Linked DNA regions of Nothobranchius furzeri. The protein of the gene in region 1 binds, or shares a complex with, the protein of each later gene. Links are inferred from orthologs where the notes say so. Each region holds a gene or a part of one and is shown on either strand. Other genes may lie near its edges. The genes, in order: ubtf, polr1h, polr2h, taf1b and polr1b.

Region 1 (4,102 bases):
CTTTAAGCCAAAGTTCTAGGCTGCTTTCAAGGTGATCACGTAAATCCCAGTACTATAAAGTTTTTATTCAAAACTAGTGGATGGCGACTTGTTTGCCAAGAGTCTTAATGAGATAAATTATAGTAGGATTGTTCCTCAGAGAGAAATGTGTTCGTTATTCTTATATTATGTTTAAAATACTATTTAAAACATAAACGTTCTAAAAACATGATACGCAAGCATAATATTCTACATGGGAAAATTACTATTTTAGCTGCCTTTTTATCCTGCTAATAGGTTAAATAGTTGGTTTTATTTTTAAGTCTAGTATTGTCTAGTTTTATTCAGCCATATTCATGATTTCAATCTTCATCAAAGGCAAAACAAAAAAGTAATTAACAATTACACGTTAAATTCGATTTAATACTTTGTAACCACATACAGGAAACATGATATAAATTACTGTGAAAGATAAATACGAACAGGATAATTGAAATTTAAGGTAAACAAAAAAGATAACACAATTGAATTCTTCAAACTATATTATATAATTTTAATTGTAATTGTAGAAGTTTATTTAAACAGTGACAGTGCACAACTTGACATTAACCACAAAAGAAAGATGCAATGTACCAGGTTATAGTGGGGATGCTAATTTCCACCTGTAGTGCCTGGGAAGGTTGATATTAAAATCACTAAACTAAAACAAAAGACGACTGTTTTTGTCCAGTTAGCTAAATTCCTGACACTAATCCAATAATACTTTATTCCTACTGTAAGTGAACATAGCACAGTTTAACAAGACTGAGTGCCTGAAAGTCTTTGTTTTCCTTCAATCGGACGGACTGGATTGGACGGCCGGGGGTTCCGCCCACAAACACACAAGGTGGAGTTGAAAAAATAACATGCTGGGCTAAAATGAAGCTGTCAAACAGCCAGTTACGTTTGAGTCAAAGAGGTTTGGTGCCGGGGGAACGGCACGGACACCGGAAATAAGAGTTAGGAGAATAATCAGACACTGATTGGTGTCAATTATAAACTTTAAAGATGTGTGCGTTCAATGAAAAAAAGTTCACTGGTGGCGTTTAAATTAGGTAACCAGTAAAGCGATTTTTCTTTCAAGTGTAGGCAGACGAAATGTTAGAGATGCAAACTTCAGTGGGAGACGTGAAAGTCGGGCTCGATGAGAAACAATAAACTCTGCTGGCTGAGCTCAGAAAATCAGCGGCGTTAACACTGGGGAACATGGGGATGTGTCGGTGTAGCGGAAATGGTTGGATGGAGAGAAGAGAGCTGCTGCACGTTGACTGGAGGGAGACAGCGAGAGAGATGGAGGCGGGGGGAAGGACCATCTCTGCGGGGACTGGAGCCCAGGACCGACGGCGCAGTGCTGGCTATCGTTCAACCCTCCCCTTCTTCATCCACAGCGACGCGGAGGCTCGCGCCGAGACAGGTAAGCAGCACGAAAGTCGGTCGGTTTCATAACCACACGTGGAAAGAGCGCGATAAACAAACCAGAAAAGCGGTTAAAAGTCGAAAAATAGACATTCTGTTTTTAATGTTGTCTACCAAAGCTCCTTAGGCGGCAGGATCTTTGTGGTAACGAAACAAACTCCCCGCTGGAAGGGCGCAGACGAGGTCGGCCTTACCCGAATTTCTCTGCCCAAACAGCGGGGAAGAAGCTGGATGTAAGACCCAGTGGTATGATGTCTACTATAAATTACACCCAGTGAATTCATGAAGCGAATTAGTTTCACGTAGCATCGGGATTTAGCTAAGCAATCGTTTGTTTCGCGTGGGGAAATGTTTTCCGGTAGTTTCCGCGCCGAGACCTCCACGCGGCTGTTGGCGGAACAGCTAGCCGCCTCTCGGTCAGCCATCAGGGATCTCGGTTTAATATCTCACCGTGAGGAGACTCGCCCTCCCCTCTCCCCCTCTCTCTCTCACTGACTAGCCCAGAACCACCGACAACCGAGCTCGGAGAACCCGCCTTTCCGTCCTCGCTTATGCGCTTTTTGGAGCTAGGGAAGGGAGTCTGCAACGCCCCGGCTAGAGCTTTCGGCTCCGTTTTCAGTGTTCGCAGTACGCCATTGGACCTTGTCACGGTAGGTTTGCTTACAAGAGCGGGGCTGGTAGCATGGCGGACCTGGAGCCGTTTTGTCGCGCCAGAGAAGCTGCTCAGCCGCGGATTGTTCTTTAGATATCCGATAATGAAAGAGCCGATTAAAGCCCACATTTTCCTCGAAACGGAGAATAACTAACACTAACATGAAGTAATTCAAAATTAGGTCAATAATGTTGTTTCACCGTACATATATTTTTTATTTTAATTATGTTTCGCGCCTCCGCAAATAATTTAACCTAACATTTATTAATTTTCGATCTGGTGTAACTTAATTTAGAATATTTTGGAGCATTTTGTATGGTTGTCAAATAATTCATGTTAATTATACGTTGTAAACACAAGTTAATGTGATCCCTAAATCGTCCTTGTGTGACACAAATTTTGATTAGTAGCAAATACTGTTGACTAACTGTGCTACCTTAGATGCTGGTATGATTTTAGGCTTCTTTTCGACATGCTAAGTTACACGGCGTCTTATGTTTTTTTTTCCACATTTATGTAGTATTTTTGACTAAACGTCATAAATCCGACGTTTGAATTTGACATTCTGCGCATTTTACATAAGAAATATGTCGAAAGTAGTGTTAGAAACGACGCGAGGAGACACGGTTGAGCTATCAAGGACAAGATGAACAACGGTCATCCGCCATCATTGGAGCACAGCTCGGCTACGCCTCGCTGAAGAATGCTCTGGCTTTTTGGTCCAAAAAACAACTGCGTGATACCACAAAGCGAACAAAATGTTGAGTGAATTATTCTAAAACGCACACATAAACCCCCTCACGCGTAGAATGCTAGTTTAGTCGTTCTTGTTTTGGGTAAACATTAGTGGAGAAGACTTTAGGGCTGCGTGGCGGAGCTAGATCCACGTCCAACGGTGATGAGGCGTCTCCGCCGAGTGGCGCATTTGGCTGCAGTGCTTCCAAGCTGCCATTCCAGGCTGTCGGAGACCGAAAGCAGATCCCCCGTCCGTGGTCAGCTGGTCGCCTACAGCTGCCTGTCTGTCCACGTTCATTCGCTTCCTCCTTCCGTGGATCCTCCCCAACCTCCGCTCCGACAGAAAGTCCTCCATTACCGAGCAGACCGAGCGAGAAAATGGTCGCTCCTGAGCGTCCACGATACTTCTGTTGTAGAATAAGGACAGCACTAATTCGCCAAATTCCGGTTGGCCCAAAAATAAAAAATAAAAAAAAATAAAAAAGAAGCTCGACAGGGACTCCTGTTGTCGTCGCTAGATATGCTTAGTTGAAGCCCTCCGCAGTGTTATTTGAGATTTGAAGCCGTCACAAGCAATAGCCTATGCCTCACCATGCAGCGTAAACGTTTAGGGGCGGTGTAATGAACATAAACCATTATGTCGGCACACATTTCAACTCAAACGACTTACAACAGAGATCAGTTATAATAAAGTTAGAAAATATGAATTTTAGTGATTTTGATTAATTTATTGTTTCTTTTGTAGTTCAAAAATCGCATTTTCACAAATGAATGGAGAAATGGAGGCAGCGACACATGACCAAGGTAGTATATTTATGAGTCATTTTTATTTATATATATTTTTTTAACAAATGACAAATACTTGTATAATCACGAAATTGTTTTAATGAATTCCACATTTTGTCATCATACTATAAACATAATGCAACCATACTAATAAATCCATGAACCAGTTTACATGTATTTTTTTATCAGTGTGGTCGCAGGATGACCTCCTAAAGCTGCTGGAGGCCATGAAAGTGGCTCTGCCACAGAAAGATCTGACTAAATACAAAACATCCGAGTCCCATCTGGACTGGCAGAAGGTGGCCTTCAACTCCTACACTGCAGAGATGTGTAAACAGAAATGGCAAGAGGTCTCTAAAGAGGTGAGATGCTCAGATCATGATTTTTAGGTCGTAAACCTTTTCAGATGTAATATTTAGATTAAGTTCTTAAAGAGGTCCTCCAATGAGAAACAAGTTTGTCTTATTTTTGGAAATGATCTGTTACATTACGTTT
Region 2 (4,059 bases), on another chromosome or scaffold:
TGATTTAAATCCAGAAATTTGTCACTGAGGCATGTGAGACATGATGGTAGAATTGATATGTTGTTAATAAAGTTGCTAAAACATTTTAATCTTCATGATAACATTTTGCAACACGACCTTCAGTCACAAAGCTTTATTCTAATGCTCCACTTTTTGTAATCTTTTTCTGGGATGTCTTGAAAACAACAAAGGAAGATGAAACAACCTTCTGTGATCCATCCACGTCTGCTGGTGAAGTTCCGTTTCCTCCCTGACACATTATATGGCAGGAATTGATGGACCATTTAATTACTGAATGTGTGATGTCTACATCATCAAAGAAAGATTAATACTTGCATTAGGGCTTATTGTTTGTCATTCTTTTACTGTGTTCAAATTATGAATTGTATTTTTGATTTTCATTAACATTTAAAAGGAGTCCACAAATAATATAATATGGAAACAATTCATTAAAATAAAACACCTATGGAAAAGTCAGACATCCGTTCAAATTTTCTACATACATGCACCAAACAAATGAATGATCATAGGTTTCAGCCTGATAAGAAAACACAGCATCACTGTCTCAGCTGGTCGGTTCCAGTTTCACTCCAATGTGAACTAAACTAAATCAGAAAATTTCAAAATTTGTGATTTTAAGAACATTTGGTTTGTGTGACATCTGTAACCACCGATGTGTAGATTATTCTAGTGGCCTTTTTTTTCTTCTTCTTTTTTTTTTTTTTTTGTAAAATAGATAAAAATAAACAGTTATGAGCAGTACTGTTTTTGACATGGGCGACCTGGGTAATGGCCCAGGATGGCATCATGAGAGGGGTGGCAAAATGGGTACGAAAAAAAAACTTATTTTGGGAGCGCAGTGCCTGAACATTATGCTGGTGTGTGTAACTTTTGGAAACATTTGTTCTGCTGCGTGCTGCAGAGGGAGGAGGACAGGTCTGCTGAAGCGGCTTGAGTGAAGCAGCATCTAAAAGTAAAGTGTGTTCGCCCAGGGCACCGAACAGGCTAGGACCACCCCTGGTCATTGTTGCCCCAAATCTCTGCACAGTAATTATGAGTTTAGTGTTGTTTATTATTTCCACGTATGCTTTACTTTGGTATTGAAATGCTTCTGGAGATGCTATATGATATTTCCACCTTATTTTATTGTTTGACACCATTTAATGGTATTTGCGAATTAATTTAATTATTCCCAAATAACATTTTGGTCATTAACTCATGTCACGTAAACAAGCGTGCGACACTAGCACGTCCTGCGTCATCAGCCTGCGACAATAACGTGATAGGACCATATACATAGCTGTGGATAGGACCCTAGGACCTCTACTGCAAACAAGTGACCGGTGAAAGAGGTTTGTAACGTTTTATACTGACTTAATAAATGATGACAGTAGCGCTGTTTTGAACTAAATGTGTAAAGAATAGCCGAATACTAATATAAACATGTAAAAGGTTTCCAAGTAGCTCCACGTGCTCAATGTGCTGCTGCTACTACTGCTAATAATAACAATAACATTCACTCGTTAGATTTCATCACACAGCCAGGAGGTCTTTTAAAGTGTTAATTTATAAAGTGCTAAGTCTTCATAACGGAAGTTACGGTGTAACTATGGTTCTGTGAGTTCCTGGATGACTGCCAGTCACAGGGGTCACTCGGAACTTCTCGGGCGAGAAGATCCCGGGAGACCCGAACGTAGCTATCGGCGCGTAATTTATAGACTCGCGACCAGGTGCGCTACGTGTCACGTGCGTGACTTTGTTTACATTAGTACTCGACCTGCGCAGAGCGCGAGGAGATACATCCACTCTGTTTACTGCCACTGGCAGTCAGGAGGGAACGAAACAGAACCCATGTGAACCGAACGGGAAACCAGTGGTTCATGGTTTTGATTGTTGTTTTCAACGTGTCTGTGTTTCTCAAGAGTCAGCAGCCCGGTTCGACGGGATGTCTTATTTTAGTGGTGACCCGAACTTCTGTCCTGAATGCGGGAACGTTCTTCCGGTACCAGTAACCTCCAACACTGTCCTGTGTCCTCGCTGCTCCTTCTGCATTCCTGTTTCAGGTAACGTGTCCCAGAGCCGTTTCTAGCTTTGTGAGGGCCTGATTCAAGAGGCTGTTTGGGAACCCGGGTGGAGGTGGTGATGATTCCTCAAAGTACCACAAGTGTAGTAAAAAGAAAAAAAAATCACTTCACAGTAAATGTATTTAACGTGATAGTGATGCACCGATATGAAATTTTTGGGCTAAAACAAATATACAATATTAATATCACCGTTATGGCCGAAAACCGATACCGATATACCGACATTAATGCTTCTAAAATCAGCAGATTTTGTGTAGGGCTTGTGATCACACGTGATTACGCATAGCATTCTGCAAACTGTGAAATAAACGGTACTGTCGCAGAGTAGAAGCAGATTTGGGTGAAAGAAAGTGTTAAATCACATAAAATCCCAACAAGGATGTGGAATATACAGGGACATGTTATATAAAGACGTCGGGGACCGGTATGTGGACAAAATCATCATTATAAATGGTTTTGATCCACATAAAAGACCCAAGACTGGAGCACTGGTGACATATTGTTGCAGCTGCAGTTCTGCATAACAGACTTTTTCGGCTATCTTGTTTAACGTCCAGATGAGAGGTAAACGTTTAATTTGTTGGTTTTTCTAGTAAAACAATCAAAATTGTCATCCCTCAGAAGAAGTGTAGCGAGAAAAGTTATGTTGTGTATCATTAGCTTACCGGTAGGTGAGTGTAGCCTCTGTGTACGTGTGTGTTTCGTGTGCATGTTGCGGTTGAGGGAAAGAAACGATGTATAAAAACGTACACCATCTGTAATTTACCAGAATGAAAATAATTTGGAAGGTGATGTTTGGTCGCCTTACAGCTGCGATCCAAGTGAGCTAACAAGACTTTATGCTAGATACTTGGTCTCTGTCGTTTTGCCACTAAACAGGAAAACTGTGGAAAGTTAGCTTGTTTTTCACCTTAATTCCACTGGCGATCACGTGTGTCACATGAATTAATAATACATAAAAAGTATCAGCTGTTGTGCTACAGCTACTATTTACCGTCTATGTGGTAGATTACTGTAAATACAGGCATGAACATGTAAGCACACAAACAAATACATATATCAGGTGCATCCTGCATGGAGTAGTGACCGTAGCGTTTAAGTGGCTGGCTGACTAATGACGTCATAATGTGTTATAAATCCCATCTACTGGTGGAATCGGTGGTCTACGGGAGTGCTCCTTCCTGCAGCGGGGGTATATCAGTTTCTGACTGAATGAGCTGCTCAGGTTGATGTGTGTTGTTCATGATGGATGTTAGCTTAGCTAGCATCCTCCTCTCGCCCACCACCGATTCCAGGGGGCATCCCAGTACAGAGCTAGTCCTCTGCACCAGTTTGCCAATTCTGTTCTGGTCCCTGTCTGTACATCCGCTTCCCCAACAGGCCACTGCATAGAAAAGGGCAGATGCAACCGACAAATCATAAAAAGTCCTTCACAGAGTTCTGCATACTCTGAAGGACCTCAGTTTCTCAGCAGGTGGAGTCAACTGCATTTGAGATGGGCAGATGAAGGACAGTCCTTGTGGTAACTCTGGGAGAGCTTAGTCTGACTGATTGTTGCCTTTCTCCTTTATTGTTTTTTCATTAAAAACAATACGCATCCAAGAAGAAGAAGAAGAAAAGATCTCTTCTATAGCGCCTCTCAAGATAAAAATCACGAGGCGCTTCACAAAAACAAAAAATGTAAAAATATAAAAAAGAATTTAGAAAATGATTAAAAATATATTTAAAATGAGCAAAAGATAGACAATTGTGATTAAAAATGTAAATAAAGAGAGAGATTGAATAGGAAAGAGGGAAATCCAACACAATTATCTTGAATTTTAGAAACACACACACTTAAAAAATACATATTTCAATCAGGGATTACAATTATTATTTTTTTTTTCAAAATTTATCGTTTTAGCTTTTTAGAACAGTTTAATTTGCTTGTTGCTGTCATAACAAAAACACCTACAAAAACTATTCACATGAATAC
Region 3 (4,092 bases), on another chromosome or scaffold:
ATATTCAAAATCAGCTGGACCATCTTGGCATTTGCATACTTGTTAGGCTGTGTACGTCCTTTTGTAGGATTACTGGAACTACATAAACGTCTCCCCACTATGACAGAAAACACACCAACATAGCAGATTTCCATGTTGAAGAAGAGCATTGTTTACCTGAATGACACGAGTCTTAGAGTCTCTTAGAGCATTTCCTCTCGGTTTTGAGACCAGCTTGCCTTTCCTTTTGCATTCCTTGTCAAAAACCTGAACAGTCTCCTCAAACTCCTCAAACGTGAGGTACTGCAACAAACAAACAAACATGATTCAACTTAAACAGTGAAGGATGACACTGAGTTTTGGTGCATTTCATTCATTTTCAGCGAACATCAATATTGCTGTGACCCAGATATCTTCTCTACCTCTTTGATCATCCCAAGAAGATCAGCTTCTGTTGCCAAGACGTCCCCCATCTTGGCTTCCTCACTGGAACTCATGTGTGTACCGAAAACATTTAATACCCCTTTAGACGGGAACGATTTCTGCTTTCATTCAAAAACGTTTATAGATCTAGGGTTCAAGCTAAAAGGTGCAAGAACAAAAGAGCAAAATACATAAGTAAAAACTTAATTCTATGAGCAGTAGTAAAAATAACCAAACACCAAAACGCACAACGGAATGCTAGTGTAACTTCGGCAGGCATGTGGGGTTTTATACCATCTTAAATGGTTTAACATCAAGATTAGCAACAACTTATGAAGCTACAAGCTATCTAATTAGTTGACACACGACAGGACATTAACATGGCTCCTACCTTATTCGCACGTAATTTGATTTGGGAGAATTGACGTACAAACAAGTTTGTGATGCGTTAACAAGTAAACGAGATCCATAAAGTACATTTTTGCTCGCTTTGTCGGACAGTGAACGAAAAAATAGCTGGCAACCACAAACAGGAGGGACGCTAAAAATACCTAGCAACCAGAGGGTCACCGGAAAGTAAATGTGAGTGTCGTAAACTAAAACTAACTAAATGTATTATATTTTACAAGAAAATATATTGAATAACCTTAAGTTATGAGGCATGCGATTTAGAAAAACAAAAGTAAACGATTGTAAATTATAACAACGCACAGACAAACGTAATTGTTGACCTTTTTTAGGATACATTATGCAATTTTAATGGTAAAACTATTATTTTAGTACGAGTATTATATTTTTACAATTTCTTATGTTTTACTTTGCTTTTTAACATAAACATTTATTTTTTCATTTTATTTTGTTTTATGAGAAGTACTTCCCGTGTCAAAGGTTAATCACGTTGTTTCTGCGCGCCACAGATTGGCTAGATAGCAATGAATTAAATTACTCTTAAATAACAAATCTAGCTTATGTTTTGAACAGTCGCTGTTGTCCTAAAGAATCGAGTAGTTGCGAGGCTTCTGTGTTTGCATTACGACATCTAAAAATAATTTGGGGTAAGTGCAACAAATGAATTAACAGTATGCTAAAGCTAGCTGTTAGCCAAAATAGGAGATTCAACGTGGAAGATAAAACTTGCCAACTTTAACTGACGTATGTCCTAGTCTTATTTTTATATAAAAGTATTTTATGGTAATATGCTTATAGCAGTTGATTTCTTGTGCTACCTAACGTTTCATTGCTTTTTAAAAGTTACTATAGTTTATTACGTTTTATTTTTTGTTGACAGGTTGTTCAAGTCATAACAGGGGCTTAAACATTTGATCCCCTGCACAAATTCACAGAGTGGGCCAACGATGGCTGGAATTTTGTTTGAAGATATCTTTGATGTGAAAGACATTGATCCAGATGGCAAGAAGTTTGACAGAGGTACTTATGAAGTACAATAACGTATTGGGGTGACTTATTTAATTATTCCATCATATTGTTTTTGTCGTATTGACATAATGCACAGGTATATTGACTCATGAGTAATCATTTATTCTACGTTTTTATTTGCCCACGTTAAGGCAGACTTTACATAGTGATGTTAAAGAAAATCTGGCATCCTGAAGTTAAAAGCTAATATAAAATTGAAAGACATTCAGCTCATTAAGAGAGCAGTTAAAAAACCAACTTGCTTATTGGATTTAGTTTATACAGGTGCTGGCCAGTAAATTAGAATATCATCAAAAGGTTGAAAATATTTCAGTAATTCCATTCAAAACGTGAAACTTGTACATTATATTCATGCAATGCACACAGACCAATGTATTTCCAATGTTCATTACATTTAAATTAGATATTCATAAGTGACAACTAATGAAAACTCCAAATTTGGTATCTCAAAAAATTAGAATATTCTGAAAAGGCTGAATATAGAAGACACCTGCTGCCACTCTAATCAGCTGATTTACTCAAAACACCTGCAAAGGCCTTTAAAAGGTCCCTCAGTCTTGTTTTGAAGGCACCACAATCATGGGGAAGACTTCTGACTTAACAGCTGTCCAAAAGACAATCATTGACACCTTGCACAAGGAGGGCAAGACACAAAAGGTGATTGCTAAAGAAGCTGGCTGTTCGCAGAGCTCTGTGTCCAAGCACATTAACAGACAGGCGAAGGGACGGATAAAATGTGGTAGAAAAAAGTGTACAAGCTCTAGGGATAACCGCACCCTGCAGAGAATTGTGACGACAAACCCATTCAAAAATGTGGGGGAGATCCACAAAGAGTGGACTGCAGCTGGAGTCAGCGCTTCAAGAACCACCACGAGGAGACTCATGAAAGACATGGGATTCAGGTGTCGCATTCCGTGTGTCAAGCCACTCTTGAACAAGAAACAGCGCAAGAAGCGTCTCGCCTGGGCCAAGGACAAAAAGGACTGGACTGATGCTGAGTGGTCCAAAGTTATGTTTTCTGATGAAAGCAAGTTCTGCATTTCCTTTGGAAATCAAGGACCCAGAGTCTGGAGGAAGAGCGGAGAAGCACAGAATCCACGTTGCATGAGGTCCAGTGTAAAGTTTCCACCGTCAGTGATGGTGTGGGGTGCCATGTCATCTGCCGGTGTTGGCCCACTCTGTTTCCTGAGGTCCAGGGTCAATGCAGCCGTCTACCAGGAAGTTTTAGAGCACTTCATGCTTCCTGCTGCTGACCAACTTTATGGGGATGCAGACTTCACCTTTCAACAGGACTTGGCACCTGCACACAGTGCCAAAACCACCAGCACCTGGTTCAAGGACCATGGTATCCCTGTCCTTGATTGGCCAGCAAACTCGCCTGACCTTAACCCCATAGAAAATCTATGGGGTATTGTGAAGCGGAGGATGCAATACGCTAGACCCAACAATGCAGAGGAGCTGAAGACGACTATCAGAGCAACCTGGGCTCTCATAACACCTGAGCAGTGCCACAGACTGATCGAGTCCATGCCACGCCGCATTACTGCAGTTATTGAGGCAAAAGGAGCCCCAACTAAGTATTGAGTGCTATACATGCACATTCTTTTCATGTTCATTCTTTTCAGTTGGCCAACATTAGAGAAACAAACATTTTTTCATTGGCCTTTAGAATATTCTAATTTTCTGAGATACCAGATTTGATGTTTTCATTGGTTGTCACCTATAAATATCAAAATTAAACGTAATAAACATCGGAAATACATTGGTCTGTGTGCATTGCATGAATATAATGTACAAGTTTCACGTTTTGAATGGAATTACTGAAATATTTTCAACCTTTTGATGATATTCTAATTTACTGGCCAGCACCTGTATAACCTACAGCAGACAATGTTTATAATCTACTGACAAATTCTCACCTATTGCAGTGTCTCGTCTGCACTGTGAGAGTGAATCTTTTAAGATGGACCTCATCTTGGACGTGAACATTCAGATCTATCCTGTGGATCTTGGTGAGAGCGTAAGCCCTTTTACCGAGGGCACTCTTATTTAGTTAATTCTTAATACAATAAAAATCTGACTTATAACATATTATAAAGGTGACAAGTTTAGACTGGTGATTGCCAGTACTTTGTATGAAGATGGAACACCGGATGATGGAGAGTACAATCCTCAGGATGATCGACCATCTCGGTGAGACATTTTTTGCACTCTTCCATCATCTCGTAGTGTGTGTGATCTTTTGATGTTTGA
Region 4 (4,133 bases), on another chromosome or scaffold:
CTAAGGACGTTGATATCCGGAAGGTGCAATTCAATTGTATTTTTATATTTATTTCTATTTTTATTATTATATAATATTTTCTGACGTTCTGTAACCTCTGTCGGTGTTGCGCTGCTTTTTTTGGAAACTGAATTTCCCGAAGGAATTCACCCGAGGGATTAATAAAGTTTTTTATTATTATTATTATTATTATTATTATTATTATTATTATTGTTCCCTCCTCTCCATGATTCATCATGCTGCCTCGCTGCTACCTACAACTGACTGGAAATTGTTTGTTGTTGTTATTGTTGTTGTTAGCATCAAGGGCAACATGCCAATTATCACTTGTAAGTCGCTTTGGACAAAAGCGTCTGCTAAATACATAAACATAATTTGGATTTGAATCTGAATGAAATAACTGACACGTGCACCAGGATAAAATCAAATTAGTCCAAATGAAAGCCATTGGACCAAATACATTAATTTAAAAGAAAGTCTAACTGTGAAAATAGTTTATTATTGCCAATTTGAGTTACCTACTTGTTTTTCACAATTAGAAGCCTGAGCTTTGGTGAAACATGTGAAATTATATAAAATATATATTTAACTCAAAATAATAGCTACATTAAACATAAATACATAATATGTAAGCAACTATCTTGTAACAGTTTATTTGATATTTTCTTGGTACACAGCAAATGAATAATTTCTTAAATTCTTTGTTTTGTTTTAGTGTTTGCTTTTATTTTGAAAGTGCGCCTCAGCTTGTTGTGCGTGTTGTCGCGCGCTCGACGGGCTCGTGAGTAGAACGCGTGTGTGCTCTCTGAGCTCGTGAAAGATGAACCCAGCAGTTGGGTCGTGAATTTTAGCGATTGTACAAGAAACATAAGCTCCTAACTTCCAGAACCACAACAGAAAGACACAAAAATAAAGTTTCTTCTGAAAAGCGACTCGATTCGTGACGTAACATAAGAGAAAGACGGAAACATCTGGCGAGTCTTTTTATAATCTCTGATCTCATCCAAATCCAAATCCGCTTTTAAACGAGAGGCCAAAGTCTGTAAAACACCACCAGCAAACATGACGGCCGAACCGAACATCAGATATGACAAAAATACAATAAAATACAGCAGAACTCTACATAAAATACCTTTTGAATAACTTTGTGAAAAATCTAAATGAGCTTTCAATAGTTTTAATTGGAACGTTGTAAAACATTTTCTTCCGGATGTACTTGACACGTAATTGATGAATGTTGAATTACACAGACAGCAAAAGCGAGTTATAACCATAGTTGGCGGTTGTAGTTCACATTGCAACCTGTTGGTGGCAGTATAGAAACCTTGCAGTCGCTAAAATCAACCGATGAAGATGAAGCGGTTCCAGCTACAAATACGCTTCTCTCATTTTAGCTTGAGAGCTAAAAGGAAAACCTAATGAATAAATTAAACACATAATGACCAGACTTTAGTTTTAAATCACGATGGATGAAGACGCTACGGTAAACACATTTAAGCATTTTTTATTTGTAAATATGTCGCGTACATTTAATTAAGGGGGAATGTTGATGTTAGCTAGCTGGTTGAGGCACACACAACCCTATTAACAACACGCCTTCTTTCATTATTATTAAATACGAAGTCCGAAAGAAATCATTTAACAACTTGGTCGGAATCTACAGCGGTCGGTTTAGTAATCGGCATAGATTTAGTAACGTTACCAACACGATCAACGTAGTTATTCAATCGTTCATGTAGAGGTTAGTAGTTTTGGCTAGCATTCCACCTAATTAGAGCTGTGAAGAAAAAAGAAAGAAAACGATCTTTTATGTAGCGCCTGTCAAGATAAAAATCACGTGGAGCTTAAAAAAAGTATAAAAAGGATTTAAAATATGTTTAAAATGAGAAAAAGTGGGAAACCAGTGGATCACATGAAAGGCGGAATAAGAGCAGAACACGGAGAGGGAGGTGATGAAGGTCCCACTAAAGCCTGCACAGGTGAGTTTAAAGGAGACCACGTAGTCCACTGACCTCAGGCTCGGGGGAGAGAGGTCCAAAGTCTGGGGGCCACAGCAGCAAATAATCTGTCACCTTTAGCCTGGTGCTGCACAACCAGTAGGCTTTGGTCACTGAACCTCAGGGACCTGCTGGGGGTGTAGGGACTAAGAAGATCACCAATGTAAGATGGTGCTTGTCCATGTAAGGCCCTATAGACCAGAACCAGGATCTTGAAATGAACCCTGAAATTGACTGGCAGCCAGTGAAGCTGGAGGAGAAGCGGGGTGATGTGGGTGTGTTTGGAGGACTTGGTCAGAAGCCGAGCACAGGCTTTCTGAACCAGGTGGAGCAGAAGCTGCTAATAGTTAAGCTTTTATTTGTGTTTATTATTTATTGAGTATTTAAACCCGTTTTGATGCACCAACATCCTGCTGTGGTCAAGAAAGTAAGATTTAACATTTTACTCTTTCTTTCTGTTTCATTTAATTTATCTAATTTTTCTTCAAAAGCTAATTTTTGTCTAACTCACTGAAGGTTCTCATTTTTCAAGTTTCTTACAAACATTTTTCTTATTATGCATCAGATTTTAGATTTAATTTATTACTTTTTATTTGCTTTTTTATTCAAAGTTTGTTGTGAATCTACTTGTGTGAGTTGTGAGAATATTAATAATATTAGTAATAATTTTTAGGTTTTTGTCAAAAGCTCAGGTGAGTTTGAGTTGCTCTCTTCACCCGTACCTGTGTTCCTGTCCAGGCTGGCTACAGGGAGCCCTGCGCTCAGTGTGCAGCGGTGAACTGGGGCATCTCAGAAGAAGGTCGTTTCTACTGCATGTCCTGCCACAACGTCATAGAGGTAAACAACAACAACAACTTACAAGTGATGTAGGTGTGTTTGGAGGACTTGGTCAGAAGCGGCGCACAGGCATTCTGAACCACCTGCAGACGGTTCAGGGAGGTTCTGCTCAGACACGTGAAAAAAGAGTTACAGTAGTCTAAACGTGAGGAGATGAAGGTGTGGATAACTGTCTCAAGTTCAGAGCAGGACAGAATGGGACTCAGCTTAGCAATGTTCCTGAGATGGAAGAAGGAAGAGCGAACAAGAGAACTTACATGAGAATCAATGAGTATGTTACCATGGTAACACTTCCTCAGATGTCTTAAAACTCTGAAAGTTAGAAGCTTCTAAATTCTCATATTGTGGTTTCTGAACATGTGTCTGCATGGACGTTATTAATGTGGGTTTAAGCTTTCCGTTAGCTTTAGCCATGCTAGCTTGCACTTCTGAGAGGCTGGAGCATTTAGTGTTAGACTGCTAGATAATAATAATAATTATAATAATAATAAGCACAGTGAAGGAAACTCCTGAGTTCACATTTTAAAGAGACAGTTGGTACCTTGCTGCAGCTGTTTACTGCTGATAATAATAATAGATTAGATTTATAAAGAGCTTTTGGGCTCTCTGCTGGTGATGGAAAACTCAAACGTAGCCATGCTGCCCTGGGGTTGTCTGAGAGGTGAGGTTGTCATTTTGCACTCCCTCTGATTACTGGACAGCAGGCTCTACTGATCTTAAGGTCCTCATCAGCTTGAATGATAAATGCTCTAGACTTTCTGACTGATTTCCTGTTTCCTCTGCCTCCCAAGTCCAACGCTTTTACGTACAATTGAGCCTGTCAGCGTCATTGCCATGGAACGTGGTTAAAACGGGTTTTTGGCAGCTGTAGTGCCTGTGGCTGTCAGCAGGAGGCGCTGTTTTATCTGAGGCCTCCCCTGATGGTTTTTATACATGTTCCTGTGCTCAGAGGACCATAGAGGTGGTGGACCTGAGCGTCGCTGGAAGCTCCAACAGATTAAAATCTATCGCCAAAGGACCCAGAACCAGTAAAGAAGGTGGGTGTGTCCTCTGAGGTGGTTTCAGCTGGAATAACCACACACACACATACACCACACACACACATACACCACACACACACAACTTTATTTTACAAACACAGACCTTTCTGGTCTCTAAAGCCGTCCCCAGATGTTTTCTAGCTGCAGGGGAACTTCAGTTTAGTTTCTGACAGGTTGATGTTCCTCAGAGCGCGGCTACACCTGGCTGGTCTGTGAGGGGTTCCAGTTCATCCTGAAGAACCAGGCTGACGCTCTGCTC
Region 5 (4,020 bases), on another chromosome or scaffold:
ACCTTCACGAAAGAAAGGAATCAGCACAGAACAACGAGCTGAAGCTCCTCTCAGTGTCTACTCACCAAACTGGGTGTAGCCCTGACCCCTGCTCTTCCACTTGGGTCTCGACATGGCGATGGGATAGTTCCTCCTCGGCATTATCAGCATCCGGATCACCTTCTCGATTCCGTTCACGATGAAGTAACCTCCCATTTCCTGTTCAATTAACCAGCGTTTAGACGACATCCAATAACAGGAGGAGTCGCGTCAGCTCGGCTCACCTCTGCTTCTTCGTGATGCTTTACGAGCTCCTTGGGGGACATGCCGTAGAGGTTACACAGCTTTGACTTCACCATGATCGGCACCTGGCCCAGGGACTGCTTAATGATGCCTTTGGGAAAGCCGTTGATGGACCAGCTGACGTCTGCCTGAGATGACACATCGTCACACGCCTCACTACAAAACCTGCTACCTCACAGCTGCTCTTGATGAACAGAACATCTATGATAGCTTCCAGTCAGGTTTTCGTAGAGCTCATTCTACTGAAACAGCTCTTCTTAGGGTCTCTAATGACCTTCTGACTCACAGTGATGCAGGGGACGGTTCTGTTCTGGTCCTGCTGGACCTGACTGCAGCCTTTGACACTGTTGACCATCACCTGCTACTGGAGAGGCTGAGAGACTGGGTAGGCCTATCAGGAACTGCTCTGGAGTGGTACTCCTCTTTTCTTTCTGAGCGTTTCTTTTCTGTGGCCGTCTCCAAGTTTAGGTCCTCCACCACCTCTCTTACCCATGGTGTCCCACAAGGTTCTGTGCTGGGGCCTCTGCTCTTCCTCCTCTATCTGCTTCCTCTTCAGCACATCCTGAGCTCCTTCAAAGGAATCTCCTACCATCTTTATGCAGATGACATCCAACTGTACATCTCCTTTAAGCCCCATGAGATGTCTAAGCTGCAGCTGTTACACACCTGCTTAGACTCTATCAAAACCTGGATGGCTGGGAGTTTTCTTCAGCTGAATGAAGATAAGACTGAGATCCTCATCTGTGCCCCAGACAAGCTGGTTCCCAAAGTCAGAGACTCTCTTGGTCAGCTTGCTTCCCACACCAAAACTTCTGTCAGGAATCTTGGCGTGACCTTTGACCCAGCTCTCACCCTGGATTCTCATGTCAGTTCTCTTGTTGGCTCTTCCTTCTTCCATCTCAGGAACATTGCTAAACTGAGTCCCATTCTGTCCCGCTCTGAACTTGAGACAGTTCTCCACACCTTCATCTCCTCACGCTTAGACTACTGTAACTCTCTTTTCACGTGTCTGACCAGAACCTCCCTGAACCATCTACAGGTGGTTCAGAGTGCCTGTGCTCGGCTTCTGACCAAGTCCTCCAAACACACCCACATCACCCCCCTTCTCCTCCAGCCACTGATTTCCCTCTTTCCTATTAACTCTCTCTCTTTATTAAATTTTTTTTAATCACAATTGCCTATTTTTGCTCATTTTAAATGTATTTTTAAACATTTTCTAAATGCTTTTTTATATTTTTACATTTTTTGTTTTTGTGAAGCGCCTCGTGATTTTTATCTTGAGAGGCGCTATAGAAATGAAATTTTCTTCTTCATTCCAACAGGGAGGTGAGAGAGTTAGCCTAGCTTACCACCACTTTTCCTCGGTAAGTACTCCTCCTTCCTCTGCATTCTGCTGGAAACACCTTCATCTCTGTGCAGATGCTGCCTTTGGCGACCAGCGGGTTCTGGATGGTTGCATCAACGAACGTGAGGCTCAACTTTTCATTTCTGCACATGAACTCTATCGGAGGAATCGCCTGGAAAACATCAAACAAAAACTGTCCAAAAAGCAACCAGACGATCCCAAAAATCAACATGACCCCAAAGGAAAATAATAACAATAATAATAACCTCATCTACAGCCTTTAATAGTTAGTGAAGCTTCTGCTCTACTGCTGAGTAAAGGTTTGACCCTTTTCTGATATATGAAGTAGAAATGATAAATTTTAAATTTTAAAACATGTTATTGGCCAATTTTGTCATTTTACTTTTCTGTGCAATACGATTTCAGCCTGTAGTCTCGAATTTTATGTTCTAAATTGACTCCGTGTACCCCCCCACCCCCACACACACTTCATATCCTTTTGTTTTTTTCTGAACACTCAAGGGGGCTGCATCTAATTTTTTATGTGTTTTCACTGTAATACAGATATTCATTCAGGTGGTCAGAAGTCATGCTTTTAATTTGAAAAGTTTGAAATGAAAACATTTCATTCATAAAAAGTAACTGGTCCAAATTAGCGATTACATTTATTTACTACATTTTATTTCGTAATTAACTGTTCATTGTTTCCGTTTTAAATAAAGGTTTTTTATTGCCGTTAGAGACACATGTATGATATATGTCTACCAGATCTGACACACGTGGATTAAACATGTTAAAGTCAAAGAGGGCAACGAGAGGAGGAAATTAACCAGGAGTAGTATTTAGTCATTTCTCATATCCCTGCTGGAGTATTTATGATGTTTTAAATTATTAAAGTGAAAAAATAATTGTAAACCTGACTTTCTCACTGACCTGCACAAGGCGGTTGAGTCCATCAGTGACAGCCTGATCAAACGACTCGATGTGGGCTTTAGTCAGGTCCTGAACGGCGGCGTGTTGCGTCTCTTTCAGTTTACCGAATTCTCCATCGGTCAGGTTCTTTAGACTCGGTCCTGTCGGTACATTACTCCACTTAGCTGAAAAGTCCATGTTGGTGTAACCCGGGACGCTTGTTTACCACATGGACATCACGAAACAGGAAGTACATCACTGAAACAGGAAGTAGATCTGTCGTTGCTTTTTTTTTTTTTGTTGTTGTTCTCGAGTGATTTGTTAGCGCCCTCTTGTGGAGACAACGATGCGTTACACCAGTTTCCCTTTGCACTTGACGTCACGCTGCTCATGGGACTGTTTTCATTCACTTTTTCTTTGCTCATGTTCATAAAGCACATCAGTTGATCTCATAACAAAGTCTGTTTTTATGTGTAATTGTTGAGAAGCAACGCTCACTTCTACTGTGAGGGTAGCTGATGTGATTGGTGGTCGCGTATTTTCCAGAAGGGGGCGGTGTGTCACAGCCACACAGCTGCAGTTTTCAATAGAGAAGCGGGGGAGAATCAACGCTTAAACTGCAGTAAAATGTGCAAAAGCAGCATCTGGAAAGCGAGTAAAATAACCTATCTAACACAAAAGCTTGTAAAAGACTGAGTCCCGCTGTATTACTCAGGCTGCACTACAGTGTCTATTCACAGGCGCGATCCCACTACTGAGCGGCACGGGGGCTTTGACCTGCTCCGTTTCCGACCTGGGCCGGTGCACCCCTCCTTAGACGACCTGGTGGTCCCGGGCTTCCCCAGAAGCACCATATCGATACCGAACTTAGTGCGGACACCCGATCGACATAGTCCACTGCAGCTCAGAACTCCTGAGCTCAAACGATCCGCCAGCCTAAACCTCCCAGTAGCTTGGATTACAGGCACGCGCCACCGCACCCGGCGAGAGCTTCCTGTACTTATTGGGCTTTTAGCCTGTTAGCTGTTGACGTCATCCGACAGCGACACCCAGTGGTGTATCTCTGCTGGCTGGTCGTATTATGAACCCCCTGATACTGTGAGTTGTAAAATGTGTGTTCTTTTTGATGTTATTTGTAATTTTTGTAATGTTCTGATTTTAAGTAAAGGTTTGTAAAAAACGAGTTGCTATGTGCCTATGTCGTTTTATATTGTTTTACCTCATTATCAAAACAATTTTGAATATGCCAATTGGCTATATAAGCTATCCCCATAGACTGGCTATCCCAGGTGGATGGTGAGTGAAACGATGTATGTTCTAAAGAAAATGAGGGATATAGGGCCCAACTAAAAGACAAAACTTATCTTCAGGGAGTTCATCACACAGAGAGCCACTTATATCAGTATTTTTCTCAAAACGTTGCAAAAAAATTTGAATTGGTTTTAAAAAAAATCATTTAAATTCACTTTGTTTATCCTATA

What was found.
Region 2: ubtf (region 1) and polr1h share a complex: the UniProt entries of both Homo sapiens proteins name them as parts of the pol I pre-initiation complex. The link is inferred for Nothobranchius furzeri from reciprocal best matches to the Homo sapiens genes UBTF and POLR1H.
Region 3: ubtf (region 1) and polr2h share a complex: the UniProt entries of both Homo sapiens proteins name them as parts of the pol I pre-initiation complex. The link is inferred for Nothobranchius furzeri from reciprocal best matches to the Homo sapiens genes UBTF and POLR2H.
Region 4: ubtf (region 1) and taf1b share a complex: the UniProt entries of both Homo sapiens proteins name them as parts of the pol I pre-initiation complex. The link is inferred for Nothobranchius furzeri from reciprocal best matches to the Homo sapiens genes UBTF and TAF1B.
Region 5: ubtf (region 1) and polr1b share a complex: the UniProt entries of both Homo sapiens proteins name them as parts of the pol I pre-initiation complex. The link is inferred for Nothobranchius furzeri from reciprocal best matches to the Homo sapiens genes UBTF and POLR1B.

What each region holds. Positions count from the first base shown.
Region 1 is NC_091745.1:10,210,449-10,214,550, forward strand, and holds the start of ubtf (nucleolar transcription factor 1), read left to right. Parts: upstream 1-1,294; 5' UTR 1,295-1,432; intron 1,433-1,927; exon of another isoform or gene 1,928-2,084; intron 2,085-3,566; 5' UTR 3,567-3,588; coding exon 3,589-3,625; intron 3,626-3,796; coding exon 3,797-3,969; intron 3,970-4,102. UniProt on the Homo sapiens protein: Recognizes the ribosomal RNA gene promoter and activates transcription mediated by RNA polymerase I (Pol I) through cooperative interactions with the transcription factor SL1/TIF-IB complex.
Region 2 is NC_091751.1:25,535,705-25,539,763, forward strand, and holds the start of polr1h (DNA-directed RNA polymerase I subunit RPA12), read left to right. Parts: upstream 1-1,248; 5' UTR 1,249-1,352; intron 1,353-1,922; 5' UTR 1,923-1,945; coding exon 1,946-2,063; intron 2,064-4,059. UniProt on the Homo sapiens protein: Core component of RNA polymerase I (Pol I), a DNA-dependent RNA polymerase which synthesizes ribosomal RNA precursors using the four ribonucleoside triphosphates as substrates. Can mediate Pol I proofreading of the nascent RNA transcript.
Region 3 is NC_091748.1:62,882,975-62,887,066, reverse strand, and holds the start of polr2h (DNA-directed RNA polymerases I, II, and III subunit RPABC3), read left to right. Parts: upstream 1-1,284; 5' UTR 1,285-1,457; intron 1,458-1,690; exon of another isoform or gene 1,691-1,745; 5' UTR 1,746-1,757; coding exon 1,758-1,830; intron 1,831-3,767; coding exon 3,768-3,851; intron 3,852-3,938; coding exon 3,939-4,032; intron 4,033-4,092. Other genes in the region: lisH domain-containing protein ARMC9, read right to left, coding at 157-282, 402-476. UniProt on the Homo sapiens protein: DNA-dependent RNA polymerase catalyzes the transcription of DNA into RNA using the four ribonucleoside triphosphates as substrates.
Region 4 is NC_091742.1:16,192,726-16,196,858, forward strand, and holds the start of taf1b (TATA box-binding protein-associated factor RNA polymerase I subunit B), read left to right. Parts: upstream 1-1,333; 5' UTR 1,334-1,465; coding exon 1,466-1,483; intron 1,484-2,735; coding exon 2,736-2,834; intron 2,835-3,783; coding exon 3,784-3,871; intron 3,872-4,062; coding exon 4,063-4,133. UniProt on the Homo sapiens protein: Component of RNA polymerase I core factor complex that acts as a GTF2B/TFIIB-like factor and plays a key role in multiple steps during transcription initiation such as pre-initiation complex (PIC) assembly and postpolymerase recruitment events in polymerase I (Pol I) transcription.
Region 5 is NC_091752.1:7,757,649-7,761,668, reverse strand, and holds the start of polr1b (DNA-directed RNA polymerase I subunit RPA2), read right to left. Parts: upstream 2,809-4,020; 5' UTR 2,738-2,808; coding exon 2,561-2,737; intron 1,800-2,560; coding exon 1,632-1,799; intron 411-1,631; coding exon 264-410; intron 199-263; coding exon 66-198; intron 3-65; coding exon 1-2. UniProt on the Homo sapiens protein: Catalytic core component of RNA polymerase I (Pol I), a DNA-dependent RNA polymerase which synthesizes ribosomal RNA precursors using the four ribonucleoside triphosphates as substrates.